Linked DNA regions of Ovis aries. The protein of the gene in region 1 interacts with the protein of each later gene in a biochemical or structural test. Links are inferred from orthologs where the notes say so. Each region holds a gene or a part of one and is shown in the gene's direction. Other genes may lie near its edges.

The links.
Region 2: of the proteins of FBXW7 (region 1) and CCNE1, one has a biochemical effect on the other in vitro, tested with the Homo sapiens proteins (18 studies listed by BioGRID and IntAct, with this or other methods). The link is inferred for Ovis aries from reciprocal best matches to the Homo sapiens genes FBXW7 and CCNE1.
Region 3: the proteins of FBXW7 (region 1) and KLF5 form a complex in vitro, tested with the Homo sapiens proteins (2 studies listed by BioGRID, with this or other methods). The link is inferred for Ovis aries from reciprocal best matches to the Homo sapiens genes FBXW7 and KLF5.
Region 4: the proteins of FBXW7 (region 1) and SREBF1 form a complex in vitro, tested with the Homo sapiens proteins (3 studies listed by BioGRID, with this or other methods). The link is inferred for Ovis aries from reciprocal best matches to the Homo sapiens genes FBXW7 and SREBF1.

Annotation. Positions count from the first base shown.
Region 1 is NC_056070.1:5,524,534-5,528,093, forward strand, and holds part of FBXW7 (F-box/WD repeat-containing protein 7), read left to right. Parts: intron 1-1,680; coding exon 1,681-1,906; intron 1,907-3,560. UniProt on the Homo sapiens protein: Substrate recognition component of a SCF (SKP1-CUL1-F-box protein) E3 ubiquitin-protein ligase complex which mediates the ubiquitination and subsequent proteasomal degradation of target proteins.
Region 2 is NC_056067.1:39,910,934-39,915,082, forward strand, and holds the start of CCNE1 (G1/S-specific cyclin-E1), read left to right. Parts: upstream 1-1,337; 5' UTR 1,338-1,542; intron 1,543-2,010; 5' UTR 2,011-2,039; coding exon 2,040-2,059; intron 2,060-2,166; coding exon 2,167-2,254; intron 2,255-2,482; coding exon 2,483-2,551; intron 2,552-4,149. UniProt on the Homo sapiens protein: Essential for the control of the cell cycle at the G1/S (start) transition.
Region 3 is NC_056063.1:48,404,659-48,408,937, forward strand, and holds the start of KLF5 (Krueppel-like factor 5), read left to right. Parts: upstream 1-1,446; 5' UTR 1,447-1,767; coding exon 1,768-2,019; intron 2,020-4,279. UniProt on the Homo sapiens protein: Transcription factor that binds to GC box promoter elements. Activates the transcription of these genes.
Region 4 is NC_056064.1:34,381,113-34,385,232, forward strand, and holds the start of SREBF1 (sterol regulatory element-binding protein 1), read left to right. Parts: upstream 1-1,288; 5' UTR 1,289-1,402; coding exon 1,403-1,550; intron 1,551-4,120.

The DNA of each region.
Region 1 (3,560 bases):
CTTTGATGACTCATCATGTTAAAAAAAATATTTGAGGTAGGAGGATATATTTTTGGTGGGAGGACAAATTCAGTTATTCAGGCTTCAAGCCTCTGAGTCTCTCTAGTTACCCACCCAGCACCCTTCCCCTCTCCATTGTCTCCCCTGTGTCCAGGCAAAAGCTGAGCGAGGTTTTAACTCATTGCCATTACCTGTCACCTGAACTGGTGACTGAGCTTTCATATTTGGTCACCTTGCACACAGCTGGCAGAGAACCTCCTCTGATTATGGTAGGACCACGAGCCTTTGGGAGCCTTCTGTTGCACCCTGAGTTAAGGAAGAAATCCAGTTTTCAGAATAGTTTCAGCCAATGCTAGCCTTTTTCTTCTCAGTATCTTTGCTGTTGCTTTTATTTCCTGCTACAGAGCCCTCCTATTAAAAGTCCTTTTTGTTTTCCAGTGGCGTGTCTTCATGGTACTCCTGTTAAACAGATGTGATTTCTTACCTATTTTGTCAGAAAAAGTCTCTCTGAAGCGTCCTTACAGTGAATCCACTCCAGTTTTTACTGTTCATTCTGTCCATGGCATTCTTTATTAAGAACCATTTCATTAGACATATTTCACTCAAGATTTGTAATACATCAAGAAAAGTACCTTTTTCACTTGTGACTTGAATCTGCTTTGAACAGTGTGCTCTACTGTTAAAACTGGGGGAGTTAGTATCAAGAGACCTTGCAATTCAGTTTTCAGTATGTTCTGACTTAAATGTCTCAATGCTTCCATTTTCTACTCTTCCAAACATGGAAAGTGGTCTTTCTTTATCTCTTAGGAATAACATTAAAGACACCTGAGTTTTCAGCTCTCCTTTGTAATCCAAAGGTGATTACAGTATTTGTATCACTCTTGTTTATGGAAGAGTATCACTTTAATAATCTTGGGTCAAAATTTTAAGGGATTTCTGTTGCCTCTACATGTGTATCTTCTAAAAATCTCTATATCTTAATGCCCTCGTAGCCTATTGAATATTTTAAAATATAAGCACAAGCAACCTTTGTTTGAGGACCTATTTAAAACTGGTTATTTTAACCAGAGTACATGATATAAAGCACATATCTTTAGCAGTTTAAATTCCAAATTCTGGCTTGTTTCGTTGAGACACTTCTATTGAATTTTCTCCCTAGTCATAAAGGTAATGTGTGTTCATATTAAAATTTTGGGAAATGGCAGAAAGAATAAGGAAAAAATTGAACTTTTTCAAAATATCAATGTTACTACCTATTAACATTTTATACACACTATGCACACGGGCATCTTATTTCTAAAATCAAGATCTTGTATGTATTTTGAGTTTGCCATGTGTTCTACTAATTTTTTATCTTTATCTTCCTCTGCTTCATCTTCATTGTATCTAGCTATAATACAGTAGTTTTCAAACCGCAGGACGCCAAGGTGCTCCTGGGTCCCTCATAGGTGGGGGAACCAAACAGGCAGAATCTAAGGCTTTCCAACTTCCCGTCCCAAGCAAAGTAACTCAACTTTCATGTGTTCATATAGCACATGAGGTTTGACATAGCATGTATTTATTTTGAAAACAGGTGGTTTCTGCTTAAGAAAAAGAAAAGTTTTAATGGCCACTGACTTTTTATGTATTGTTTTCCCATGATTTTAAGCTCTCATACATTTTTTCCTGTTACACCCGCAGAGTCGTTAGCGGTTCTCGAGATGCCACGCTTAGGGTTTGGGACATTGAGACAGGCCAGTGTTTACACGTGCTGATGGGTCATGTAGCAGCAGTCCGCTGCGTTCAGTATGATGGCAGGAGGGTTGTGAGCGGAGCGTATGACTTCATGGTGAAGGTGTGGGACCCAGAGACAGAGACCTGTCTGCATACGCTGCAGGGCCACACCAACAGGGTCTACTCACTGCAGGTAAGAGGCTGCGCGCGCTCGCTCCTGTGGCGCTCTTGTAACCAGTCATAATACTGTCTTAGTCCATAATCACTTCAGACTGCTGATCCAGTACAGTCCAAAACAGATGAATTATTCTGCTGTTTACATTTACTTTAAAATTGGCACGAAGAAAGCATACATGTTGAAATTATTTAAATGATTTGTTTCCATTTTTCTGTGAGTCATCTTCCTCTAAAATATAAATATTGGTCTTGGAACCTGAGATTTTGGGGCTCTAAATTTTCCTGTTAATGGGGAGATAGTCTCATAGGAAAATAGCCTGGATTTTAATAAACTCCTTAGCACAGGATTAATTTGGCCAGAAGCTGCCCCGTTGCCTTGATAGCTGGAAGTTGACGGACCATGTAATTGTGATTCTGCCCCCATTCAAAGTGGAAGTGGAGCTTTGGGCACAAAGCTGCTCTGCTGCCACAGGGCTGCTGGGTTGTGGTCATAAAGAAGGAAATTTGTCTTAAACATTTTTGGTTTGTTTTTGTTTGAACCTGATATCCTAGAATAGATTGCCATATTTTGACATAAATAACTAGATTATTAGCAGGTTTAAAAAATAGGTCTTGTTTTGTTTCCTGAAAGACATTAAAAAATACAGTTGACTCTTGAACAGTGTAGAGACACTACCCTCCACCACCACTCCAGTCAAAAATCCTTGCATAACTTGGCCCTCAGTGTCTGCAGTTCCACATCCAAGAGTTCAGCCAACCTGGGACTGTGTAGTAACATAGTAGGTATTGAGCGAAAGAAATTTTTAAGTGTAGTGGACTCTCCCAGTTCAAACCCATGTTGTGCAAGGGTCAGCTGTATTTGCTATTAGTAATACTTACATAGCTTGTTTACCAATTACTGCCCACTAGTGATCAGCAAATTAGTACATGGTCCTAGGGCTCACAGTTCTGTCCTTGGAGTATTTGTTTCTTCATGGGATTCTGTCTATGTCATGAAATATTGACATAAAATAAAGATGGCTGTTAACTTAGAAAAGGTTATTAATTTGGAGGAGAGGGAATTGGCTGCAGTTGTCTGTATGTTTTGTGATGTGTTCAGAACCTTAATGAATATAACAGCCTCATTTAAATAAACCCCTTAGATTGAGAAAATAGGTAGGAACTTTAAATCGATCTGGGAATTGGTAGATGTTTGTTGACTTCTGGTCTAGCTGGGAAGCTGGAGAAGAGTACCATAGATAGTTTGCTTTGGTTATCAAAATGCCACCACTTCTAATTCTAGATTAATTATCTGTTGGCACAGTTCCTACCTAGCATTAGGTTCCTGTAAGTGAAATTTTTATTTTACATACAGTTTAATGGAACTTACTTTGAAGTATCATGAGAGTTATCTCTAGCTCTTTCCGTGCCGTAGATGTTGATAAGCACACCTTGTATCATAAACCACATCAGTAGTTTCACCTTCCCGTTGGGAAGTAAAACTCCAATGGTAGTCCATATCGAATCATTCATAATATGTAGCTCCTAAGTGTGGCCAGATGGTCTGACAATAATACGTTCATTGTGCTTTTTTAAAAATTGTTTCTGCATCTAGTTTGAGGCCACTGGTCATGAAAAAATTCGCGTTTCTGATAGAAGCTTCTGAGAACATGCACTGGGGAGTCGTTCGG
Region 2 (4,149 bases), on another chromosome or scaffold:
TAGAAGTTTAGTACAGTAGGTATTTTCAAGTGATGATAGTTCAATACTTGTCTCCTTAGCCTGTAAAATCCACAAGGGCTTGGTCACCATGTGTTCCAAGCATTCCTTCACAAGTAAGATTGAAGTGCCTCCCTTCCTCCAGGCACTATGCCAAGAGCTGGGGGATACAGCAGTGAACAAGACAGACAAGGCAGGGAGAAGAGAACCAAACACGGACAAGAAACATATGGCAGCAAGTGCTGTGCAGGAGCCACAGCAGGGCAATGTGGTGGAGAGGAACTCCTGGGGAAGACCTGGAAATTCTCAGGAAAGATGTAGCTGGAAGGAGCCGGAGCTAGGGACAACAAAATCCAAGGTCCCGAGATAAGAAAGGACAGAGGATGGCCAGAGGAGCTCTGATGGGAGGCAGTTGAAGGAAAGGTCTGAGAGGGGGTGAGGGTAGGTCCACGTGGAGTTCTGTAGGGCATGGAGTGTGGCTTTGATGCTTAAGGTAAAGAGGGCCGCATGGAATCCCAGCATCAAAGAGGTCTTCCGATGCTCAGGGGAAAATCTATGGCGAAAGGCACACATGGAAGGTAAAGGTGCTAGAGTATTAGCTGAATGAGCATGGACAGATGGATGGACGCACGTCCAGGAGTAACAGCTGTTCCACAGGCGGCCCCGATCTGGCGGCCTGAAGCCCTGGTTCTAGGCTCTGTGACCATGCGCTGTGACCTTGGGCACATCCCACCCTGACTCAGGGCCCGGAAACCTGCGTCTCGGGGGCGGAGGAGACGTGCAAGGAGAGACAGTGCGCGCGCGCTGCAGGCCTACGGACGTCAGGTCTAGTGGCCCGACCCCTCAGTCGGGGACCGAAGCCTCGCCGCCCGCCGTGTTTACATTCCACCAGCGCCGGCCACGCGGCTTTTTGCCGCTCCAGCGCCGCTCGGCTCCGCCCCCAGAGCCCCGCGACCCGCCCCTCCGCCGCACTCCCGCCAGACCTCCCCCGCGTCCCGGCCTGCGCAGCCCCGCCCCACCGCGCGCGCCGGCCGGCCCCCGCGTCCCGCCCCGCGCGGGCTCCGCAGCTTGGGCGGTGCAGGCCCCGCCACGGCCCCAGGGCCCCTCCCCTCCGGCGCGCAGGCCCTGTCACTTAGCCCCGCCCCGCGCTGGCCCCGCCCCGGGCGGGCCGGAGCGCCTGGGCGGGCCTGCGCCGCGCAGGGCGGTCCTGAGGGCGGTGGCTGGGCGGGGCCGAGCCCTCTGGCTGCCGCTGAGGGGCTCCGAGCCGGCCGGGGCGGAGCGGAGGGTGGCGGGAGGGCGCGGGGGCGGTCCGGGGGCCGGTTCCGCGCGCTGGGATTTTTAAATGTCCCGCTCTTAGCCGGGCGCAGGAGCAGCCGGCCCGGCCGCCAGCGCGGTGTAGGGGGCAGGCGCGGATCCCGCCACCGCCGCGCGCTCGGCCCGCCGCCGTCTCCCGCCTCCTGGCTTCCCGCTCGCCTCTGCCTCCTGCCTCCAGCCTCGGCTCGTGCCGCCTGCCTGCCTGCCTGCCTGCCGCGGAGACGGCTTCGGGTGAGGACCCTGCCTCGGGCTGCCGGACTGCGCGGCGGGCGAGAACTCCTGGAGCGCCCGGGTCGGGTCGGGCCGGGCCCGGGTGGGGGTGGGGCGAGGCCGGGTCGCCGGGTCCCCGGAGGCGTCAGCGCGGGGTGCCCCGGTAGGGCGACTCAGAAGCGGGCTCCGGGGAGGTGTTGAGGGGAAGACTGAGGCAGCTGGGGGTCCCCAGGGAGGCAATGGGCCGGCGAGAGTTTCAGGGGGCGTTGAGGCCCCCCCACCCACCCTGGGTTCCGACCCGGCGTCGCGGGCCGCTGGTGGCGCCGCGGGTGACAGGCCACCCCGGGCCCATCGGCCATTTTCCCGACCGGCCCGGGAGGCTCCCGCCGCCGCCGCCCGCGCGGGAGGGGGAGGGGTGCTCGGGACGGGCCGGCGGGCCCTGGACCCCTCTGCTGCCGTCCTCACCCCACTGCCGTTTCGTGCCCCCAGGCTTGAGGTCTGATCCTGCGCCCAACGCCATGCCGAGGGAAAAGGAGAGGTGAGTGGCCTGGCCGTTGCGGGAAAGGGGAAGGTGTGCGGTGGTGGGGGAGGGGTGGGCCGAGATTTGGGTAGAACTCTTACCTCTGTGCCATCCTGGTTTTGCAGGGATGCGAAGGAACCGGATACCATGAAAGAGGAAAGTGGCACCGATGTCTCTGTTCGCTCCAGGAAAAGAAAGGCAAATGTAGCCGTTGTGAGTACAAAGGAGACAGGTGGGGGAGGATGCCCCCCCCCCAATCTTAACTGGGTACCAGAATGGGTTCTACCCATGTATTTGTTGATAAGGGATCAAGAGTGGGGAGCTTTTGGCAGAAATGGTGATCATAACCTTACTAGCTTTCTTTTTCTTCTCTGTGTCTGTGTTTTTGTCTTTGGGCTGTTTGGTGTGTTTCCTTGGGGTATGGGGGTTGTTTTATGTTAGTTTTTGCAGGATCCAGATGAAGAAATTGCCAAAATTGACAAGACTGTGAGAAGCCAGTGTGGCAGTCAGGTAGGTACATTTTCTGATTGGGTCGAAGTTGAGGCTCCCCTTGTTTGGGGTCACATTGAGTCTCATACTTGCTTGCCTCCTGCTGAAGGCTTTTTCTCCAACTATGGCCACAGTTCATATAACTGAGCACTGTGCCTGTCAGTGGGCACTGACCTCTGCCAGTCTTGGGATTCCAGGAAGGACTGTGTTCCTGACTGACATCCCTGAGATTACAAATATGCGCTGATGTCTGGAAGAACCAGAATGAACCTCACATAACTCAGTCCTCTCCTTTTGCCCTTGAGGAAACTGAGATTCAGTTAGAGGAGGAAAGTAACCCAGAGTCCTGTGCAAGCCAGGGGCGGAGTCTGTCCTATAGCCTAGGCTGTAGGCTAGTGAACTGTGGGAGGGCTCCTGACACACAGCTCTCTTCGGGTAACTGTGATGATGGGGGTTTGTGTGTGTTCATAAGCAACTTCTCCCCATCCACACTTGTGTTTATTTCCTCATGGTGCTTAAGGACTTCCCTTTCCTGCTCCCACCCCCTTCAGGTCATGTTTCAAACTTTTTCCCCCTTTTTGATGGTTCTTCTAGCCTCTTCAGCAATTACGTACAGTGATAACTGCTGCCTGGAGTTTGATCTGACCTCCACCAGAGTATTAGTAAGACATTCTGTGTAATGATACGTGCATCTCAACACATTTTTAAAACTGACTAGTCAGTCCATTTCTCTTGCCCCTCCTTCGTGGAGTTCCCGCCATATTTCTTGCATGTTCACGGTACCATCATAATATCAGAAGTCCCTAGCCCAAAAAGCTTGTATTATCTCTCTGCCTCCAGAAATGGCTGGAGACTGTAGTTATGGCCCCAGTAGGGGAAGCAGTCTATCTCCAAACTAACTGATTAGGCTTTCTGACACTGTAACAGATAAAAACTGAGCAGGAATAGTATTTGAGCCAAGGAAAGTGGTTCTGATGAGGTTAGCAGTGGCAGCACATCACTTTGTAGGACAGTGAGCAACGGCCATAGCGGCTGGGTCTGGAAGAGTGAAGGTCTTCAAAGCTGTGGGACACATGGTAAAGCTGTTATTGCACACAAGACCCTAGTAATTACCATTTCTGGGGAGATTCTACTTAATATTGAACAACAGCTTGATGGTTTACTTGCTGTATTAGAAGAAGAGATACTTTGTTTTAGGAAAAGAAATAAGACAGTGCATTTCAAATTCTTTCTTTTTTTTTCTTTTATTCTCCCTGTAAAGACTTCAAACCAAGAAAGTTAATTTTTGTGGGTCTCTACTAAAATGAATCTCAGCTTTGTGAAATTCAAGATTGGTTGTCTTCCTAGCTATGTTTTGAATTGGAATTTTTAACTGAGGCTGAAGCAAAGCTGTCCTTGTTGACTTCTTGGGGTTTTAGAGTAGTTTCAGTTCCAGAGATAACTGGAGCGGAGCCTGGAGTGCCTAAGACAGGGCTTTGGCCCTGTCCCTGGACTGCAGAGAGCTGATAGATGTGATATGTGAATAGCCATATTACTTCCCACTAGAAGGCATTTTCATGGTTCAGAGATTAATGACAACAGGTTTCTACACATTGTCTAAAGTAGATAGCTTGAAATTA
Region 3 (4,279 bases), on another chromosome or scaffold:
TCTAATCATAAACACCTATAACACTTTATGTGTATATTAGTTTTTAAAATCTACACACTGAAAAGAGATCCATATCCTTTGATAGATTCACTCCTTGAGGAGAACATTTTCCTAAGAACACTTTTTTTTTTTTTTTTGTAAAAGCTGCTTTACGGTGAAGTGATGATGAAGATGTAAAAATGTCTAATGGTATATAGTATGCTGTCAACATATGTACATATGTAGTAATATTCCAGGCATTTTTATTGCAGTGTAGTGTTATGGCTTCCCAATAAGCCAGATAAAAATCATGTACAAGAATATTAAGGATTAAGGAAAGTGGTTTCCTTAGGTGATTGCTGGCAAAATTCACCTTCCCCCTATAACACAGTAAATGGACAGTGACATATTTTCGCTCTTACTTTCCGATAAGTTTGGATTTCCAGTTTTCAGAGCTGCTGCGTGTCTAATGTTTGTGACTTTCTTTGATTGTCTTTTCGTAGGAGTAGGTGCAACGGTGTAAGGTAAATGTGCTACGTTTCTGTTTTGCAAACATTAAACTCCACTTTTTGAACACACAGTGGTAGCAAAAATAAGTAAAGATGTAATGTCTATTTAAATACATTTCATTTAATCGTTGGTGCTTAAATTAGATTGCATGCTTTGGTTAGAGTCAACAGTGTAAATATTAAAAACTTCAAAATTCATGTGTCCCATCTCCCTCTTCTCCATACCAGGTACGAGGTTGAAATGTGTGTGAAAACTCCTACCCATTTAAATACTGCAAGGGAAAAAAACAAGCTTTTATGCAAGGACTTAAAAAAAAAAATACCTGCCATTAAACCTTTTATTCAGGGCATTTCAAATTTGCTTTGCTAAAGGGATTTATTCACTGCTAAAGATACACAGAGACAAGAGCTGTTTTTAAATGTTTATCACACCGCCCCTAGTTTTGCGCTAAAGAAAAGTACATTTTGTATTTTTAAAAATACACGCTCATTAAACAAAACTCCAAAACCTTAGCGCCCCCACCTAGCTGCCTTCCAGGTTTCAACTTGCGAGTTTCAGGTCCTTGCACAACACCTAAGGCGTGCAAAACTCTTTTTCTCGCTAATCCTGGCAGAGAACAGTCCGAAGAGATCTCCCTCCACGTCTCCACCCGAATTCCCTCTCTTCCCCAGATTCCACTCGCTTCTCTTTTTCCCTCCGCCCCCGTCTCCGCCAGCCCAATCTGTCAGAGAGGTTGTGTACAAACTGCGCGGCCGCCCTGCGCGCGAAGCTCGTGGCCCGAAAGGGGTGCGGTCCGCCTGGCGGAGGCGGGGCTCTGAGCTAGCTTCTCCCTTTTCATAGGTTAGCTGCTCAGGCCCGGCCAGCTTCGGGGCCCCGAGATTTGTCGGAGCGCTGCCAGTCTGGCCGGCTGGCCCCGCCTCCCCGGAGTTGGGTAAAATAGAGGCGGGCGTCAAGTGTCAGTAGTCGTGGGGCAGGTACGCGCGCTAGCAGCTCGCTCGCGGAGACAGGCAGTGGCGGGAGCGGACTCCGGGGAGCTAGGGAGCGCGGTGGGGCGGGGCGGGAGAAAGTGGTCGCCGGGTGGACGTCGGCGTTTACGCGTGGCGGAGCGGAAGAGTTTGGCTTTTCTTGCGCGCCTTTGAAAACCGCGCCTGCTTGTGAGCTGAGGGGTCAGTCCGGAGCCAAGCTCGCCGACCCGAGCAGCGTGGGCGAGGTGGGAAGCGCGCTCGACTCGCGCCCCGCGCCCGGAACCGCCCCCCCACCCCCCACCCCCGAGTGCCCATGGCTACGCGGGTGCTGACCATGAGCGCCCGCCTGGGACCCGTGCCCCAGCCGCCGGCCCCGCAGGACGAGCCCGTGTTCGCGCAGCTCAAGCCTGTGCTGGGCGCCGCGAACCCGGCCCGCGACGCGGCGCTCTTCCCCGGCGACGAGCTGAAGCACCCGCACCACCACCCGCAGGCGCAGCCCGCGCCGCCGCAGCCGGCGCCGCCGCCCGCCGCGGGCCCGCGGCTGCCCGCCGAGGAGCTGGTCCAGGTAGGAAGAGCCGCTCCCCTCCCTCCGCCTCCCTCCGGGGCCTCGGGCGTGTCCCGCCGCTGCGGCTCGCGGGCGACAGGGGCCGCTCCAGGCTGGGGCGCGCGTCGGGGCGCACCGCGGCCCAGGGCTGGGGGGCAGCCCCGCCCTGCCCTCCTGGCCTGGTGGGGGCACCCGAAGGAGAGGATCTATGGGGAGTCTGCCCTGGGTGCTCTGTCCGGGAAAGGTTCAGGAGGGAACTGGTGCTCTCGCGCACCTTGTTTTTCTACCATTTGGGGGATGAAAGCTCGTTCCTCACGCCGGACCTCAATTCCATGCGTCCCCTAAATCCGCCGCCTCCCGCTGCCCTGGCCTTGGAGGTCACCCGCTGTCCCGATCCACGGCGTCCCGGATTCAGTGGGAACGCAAATTGGGGTGTGTGGGGGGGAGTGCTGGGGGGAGGCCCCTCGGGGTGCTAGTTTAATATCGCTTGGAGCAACCTGCTTTAGACCGCGATCTTAGGGCTCCTTTGGGAAACGGGAGTTAGAAAAGCTAAGGTGGTGTTGGAGCGCTTATTTTTCCTTAGAAAAGAAAGGAAAAAAAGGACCGGGAGGTGTTGTTTTCTTCATCTGCGCGTAAATTTCCTCCCGGAGCCGCGTTGAAAGCTGGCAGTTGGCTTTTACACTTGCCCGGCAGCCGAATTAGAGCAACCGCCTGTTTCTTTCGCCCACGCAGGGAGTCATATAGCCCAGAAAAAACTTCCCGGGACTTTTAGCCTGTCCCAGGGAAAAAAAAAAATTGGAAACATACCCACATGCAAACAGCTGGAAGAGCTAAAATCAGAAACCACTAACCACCATGGGAGTAAAGCGCACGAAAGGGTTTAGTTCGGTTTATTTCAAGACGCCTCATTTAATACCCCCTTGGTATACTGTGTATTTGCTATAGCAAGCTCCTGCTCCGGGGGTCTATGAGTGTCACCGTGCTGTGCAAGGGCAGTGGCATTTATCAGAGATGTGACTCACAAGAACAGCGCGATTTTATTTTTAAATCGTCTCTTTGCGGGAAACCCGAATCTATATCCACACAAAATGATTCGGGATCTGATAGCTGAAATTAAGTAGTAGCAAAAAAAAAAAAAAAAAAGACTGTTATTCACTTTTTAAAATGCCACGGTTAATAGTTCTGTGAGCATCTAGTTGGGGGTGTTGTTTCCTATGTGTGTGTTTCTGTTGAAATTTCCTTTCAGTGCTAAAAATTTTAGAAGTTTGTTATACTAGGGAAGATGATAGCTGCAAAAGACTGAGGAGACCGGTTACAAGCTGGATTATGTCCTAAAGAAAAATCACCATTTTAAAACCATGTGGGCATTTGTCAGTTTGCTGCTTAGAAGACACAGGAGGATAAGGGATGACTGAGCTTTTTACAGAGTGAGGGGGAATGTAGCGTTGGCCCACTGAGAAGGACACGATAAATGTTTGGCTGATGACTGTGCTGGCTACTGGCAGCCTCTCCACCCACGGCCCCTTAGCACCACTCTACCAAAGGAATGGTTTTCCCCTAGGTAATTAAAGATCTGTTTTAGATAGGGATATGAATAGGAACATTTCATTATCATATTAACCAATTACAGAATCTGCTGATTAAAATCAACATTTAGATCAAACTGGTGGAGAAGTTGGTTTGTTCTCTCAGTGGATACTATGTTTTGCTCAAAACATTGTATTTAAGTTTCCATTGAACTGTAAACTGGAAAAGGCACTTAAATAGCCAAAGAATATGTTTTATATTAGCTATTTCGGCAATATCTACCCAAGCAAAGAAATTTTGCAATATTAACTTTAACCGTGAAGGTTTACTGAGGTTTTTTTTTCCCTTTTCAACCACTGGATTTACCTATATGACATGAATAAGATAGAGATAATTTGGCCTTATTACAATACTGTATTTTCAGTTGTAATGGAGCAGAGAATCCTGCTTGTATATGAGTGATGATAAAGTATACTTTATTATTGCATCAGAAAGGAATATTTTTTTCTCTTTGCTTCCTTTTTCTTCTTGATTTGTCTCTTTCACTTTGTCTGGGGTTGACCGGGGGCGATTTTACCAAACACTTGTTATACACAGTTTCATAAGGTTTTTGGTGAACCATTTGTTTCACAGTTGACAAACCTGATATGTTTATAAGCAACACTTAGGAGTTTGCCTTGGGTATTTTTCATAGAGATTGTTGGGAATTTTAGTAAGCACAGTTTGTTCTTCCCGAGATGATGAATTGGGCAGA
Region 4 (4,120 bases), on another chromosome or scaffold:
CAGGTCCCAAGGGTCCCTGGGCAGGACCACTTGGGAAACAGATGTGGTTTGGAGGTCCCCCGGGACCTGGCCATCTCTGTTCTGGGTAATTTTCCACCGTAGCCACTTCCGGGAGGGGAACAAAGAACCCTGCGTGTCCAGTCTGAGCCCCAGGGACTTGGGCCTCCAAGGCCTCTCTTGGCCTGGGCAACACCCCCCTTCCAAAGTGCGCCATAAATGTCACTCTGTCAGAGGGTGTGGTCAGACAGGCTATATCTGGAATCTGAGCAAAGCAGTACTCAGGATGGCTGGATTCACTGAGGAGTCGGGGTGGAGGTGGGGGTCCAGACCTCTAATAAGGCTCCTTGGCTGCCCCCTACCAAGGGTGCTTCTGCTCACTGCTTCCACACTTCCAGCACCTGCATATTAGTATCTCAGTCCACCTCATTAGGACCCTCCCTTGGCACCTAGCTCTGCCCCCAACCCACAGGACCCAGCGTCCTGGTCCAGCCCTCTCCCCAGCCTAGCTGTCTCCTCTGACCTGCTCGAGCCTGTCCTGATCCAGGGCAAGGGGTCCCAGGCCCAAAGCACAGACTGCCCCTACCTCATCCCAGCTGCTCTGGGGACGGGGTCCAGTCCTGGTACAGTTCCAGGTGGCTGAGTGAGCTTGTGCTGGTGAGATCCTAAACTCTGGGTGCAGAGGCCAGCCCACCTTCAGCAGCCAGACTGGGCCCACTAACCCCCAGCCCTTCTGTCAGTCCCACAGCTGGATCTGGGAGGAAACCAGAGAAAGAGTGGGAAATTCTAGCCTCTTCCAGGCTTTTCAGAAGATCTAAAGAAGGAGGGGCAGGCTCATCTCACAGGCCCAGCCGGCCACTGTTACTAACGTCCCAGTCAGCCTATGCGGAGACACCATCAAGCCCCGTTACAGCTGATGAAACTGAGGAACAGTGTGGTGAGGTAACTGGCCAGAGGGCACACAGCAGGTCTTGGACTAGTCTGTCTTCTAAAGGCCCAAATCTCGGAATGAGGTTTGTCGGGTCACTTCCTGCCCCAAGTTCAGCGACATCTGGGACGGACCCAACCCGGGGCTTCCACTCAGCCCCCTTGCTCAGGGCGGGAGAAGCCGGGGCCTGCGGGAGCCCCGCAGCAGTCCGCGCGGGGATGGAACGGCCAGGGGACGGGTGCGCAGGCCGGACCGGAGCCGCCTGACGCTCCTCAGGTTGGGCGGGACCGTCCACCCGGGGGCGGGGCTCCTGCAAGTCTCCGCCCCGCCCCGCCTGCCCCGCAGAACCGCCGCCGGGAACCCAGTTTCCGAGGAACTTTTCGCGGGCGCTGGGCACCACCGAGTTCCGGGCGGGACGCGAACGCGCGGAGCTGCTGCGGCGGGCCCGGCGGACCTCCGAGAGGAGGTGACTGCGCCATGGACGAGCCACCCTTCAACGAAGCGGCCTTGGAGCTGGCGCTGGCCGAGCCGTGCGAGCTGGACGCGGCGCTGCTGACCGACATAGAAGGTGGGTCAGGGCCACTGGGCTCCGCGCGCGGGCGGCGCCGGGCGCGGGGCGCGGAGGGGGTCGGGGGCGCGGCCTCTGTGCGGAGCTCTCCGCGTCTCTGCGCCGAGGGCTGCGGGCCTCGCGGTTCTGTCCCCGCGGAGCTGCCCGTGCCCACCGGGTCCTGTAGGAGGCTCGGCGCTGAGCACGTGCGCCTCTGGGCGCTTCGGCCCGCACCCCGCGGCCAGCGAGTCCTCAGTCGGGAGGCGGCAGTGGCGAGAGCGGGGCAGCCGGCATCGCCGAGGCCCCGCCCCGCCCCGGCCTTGACGTCAGCGGGAGGTTACTCTCGGTCGTTCCCTCCGGCCCGAGAGTTCAGCTCCGCGCTCGCGCTCCTGCGCATGCGCGCCGCGGTCCCGCGGACCCTGACAGACCAGGGCCTGATTCTCCTAGCTGGCTCCCGGTATCGGTTCGGCACACGTTTATCGAGCGTCTACTGAATGCCAGGCCCGGTTCTAGGCACCAGAGGTTCATAGACCTGGGCTCCCCCTTTCCTTGGAAGCACAAACCCACCCTAAGGAAACCCATAAACAGATATTTACACCTTGTGGTGGGGCTGGGGCAGGGCGACTGCTTCGGATAGGGCGGTGGGGTGGGACCTGAGCTCAGTCCCGATAAGGATGTCTTCCCCACGGAGGGCACGGCGAGGAGTTGGAGGGACACAGGTGAGACTGGGCAGGTGGGTGGAAGAGGACTTGGCAGGAAAAGGCGGGAGCAGCAGCGCGGGCTTTCTCACACACCTGGAAGCACTGCTCTGGTTGTTCTACAAAGAGAGTGTTGGGGGCGAAGCTGCAGCGGGGCCAGTCAGGAGGCTGTTGCCCACGGTGCACAGAGCACATTCCAGCCTCCACAAGTTGCCTCCGAGGTTCCTATGCAGTTTCAGCCACGTTGGCTACCTTGCACTTGGTTGATGGGGATAACAGGCCCTGAGCACAGGACCCAAACCTCCCACAGCCTGGATGGACTCATCCATGGAGCCTATGCCCGCCCTAGGGTTAGCAAAATGGACACATCTGAGCCAACCACTCTTTGGTTGGCTCGCTGGGAACCCAGCTCGTAGGGCGCAAGAGTTGCCAGGTCCCCTGGAGGGGAGTTGAGAGGAGGGCCAGGCAGCGTTGACTCAGGGCTGAGAGCTGAGCTGCATCCCAGAGGCAGTGGGATGTTAAGTGACTTGTCCCAGGTCACACAGCAGAGCATGGTAGAGCCAGAATTCAAACCCAGGATGGGAGCTCCAGAGGCCACACTCTTAAACGCTATTGTGAGTGTGTGTGTGTGTGTGTGTGTATGACGCCATAGAGCAGGGGACTCAGGAGGCTGCTCTATATGGAGGTATGCTGGAGGCTTGGGAGTGGGTCGAAACGGGGTCATAGGTCACACGGCCACCTCCCCATCCTAGCCCAGAGCCTTTGACTTATGAGACGGAGGACTGGCATCAAAGAGTCCGCCCATGTCCCTGAGCCCCACCCAGCCTGGGCATGTGGCTCGGCCAGACTCCGTCATGTGACCAGCGCCCTCACTAGGAGCCCCAAGTCCTGTGCTGCAGGCCAGGCCCTGGCTGCACTGCACGACAACTCCGGGTAGATCCGCGTGCTCCCAGCCTCCTTTTCCTGTTTTTGTTTTGGGGTCCCTTGTGGCCATGAGAGAGGGTATGTGGGAGCCGCCTTGCATGAGTGCTGGGATTGTGTTGATGCCGTGGAGGGCCTTACTTCCCGCTGGTTCATACACTGCACTGTGTTGCTCAGTGACGAAGAGGCGATTGGAGGAGGCTGCTGGTCAGGTGGGCCTGGTCAAGGAGTGGCCTGAGCCTCTGGTGCATAGCTGGAAGTCACCTCTGCCTGGGCTTCCCAATTCATTGTGTCTTTGAAGTCCGGGTGTTTGCCTTCGGTCCAGTCCCTAAATCAACAGGGACCTGGCTTCCTGGGCTCCAGGCCAGCCTGCTAAAAGAGGTACATGGGGGCCAACCTGCCCCCCACCAGGCCACTCCCCACAGTCTCTCATGCCCAGTTCTCTCCCTGGTGCTGCCAAGCATGGGCCTTCCGTAGAAAACAAGCTCAAGATGGCTTACAGCCCTGCTCTGGCCACAGCATATACCTGCTCAGCTCCCTAACCACCATGGCTCCCCAGAACCCCAAGATACAGTCCCTTGTCTCAGCGTGGTGTTTGAGACCTGTCAGGTGGGCCGGGCCCGCCCTCCCGTGGTAAGTCCTGTCCTCCCTTCAGGCCCTCCCCATGCCCTGGACACACTCGGCCCCCACATGGCACTCCTGCCTCATCCTCACGTCCAGAGGTCCTGAGGGCAGAGCCTGGGAGAGGCCTCTCCCCCTGGACACGGCACCTCTCCATCCCTCTCCTGCCTTGGGTGCCCAGGTGGCAGGAAGCAGAGGCCCTCCCGGTATGGCCGTGTGCTCTCTCCAGGCTGCAGTGGCTGCCCTGGAAAGCTGGGGTGAGGCCATAGGTGGGCTGCCCATGAGCCCCGCTGAGTTCCAGCCCTCGCACCTGTGAGGGGGATGGGGAGAGCTGCGGGCAGTCCAGGGAGGCGGGTGGGCTGGCAATTGGGAGCTACCTTCTGCCTGGTGGTCACCTCACTGGATGAA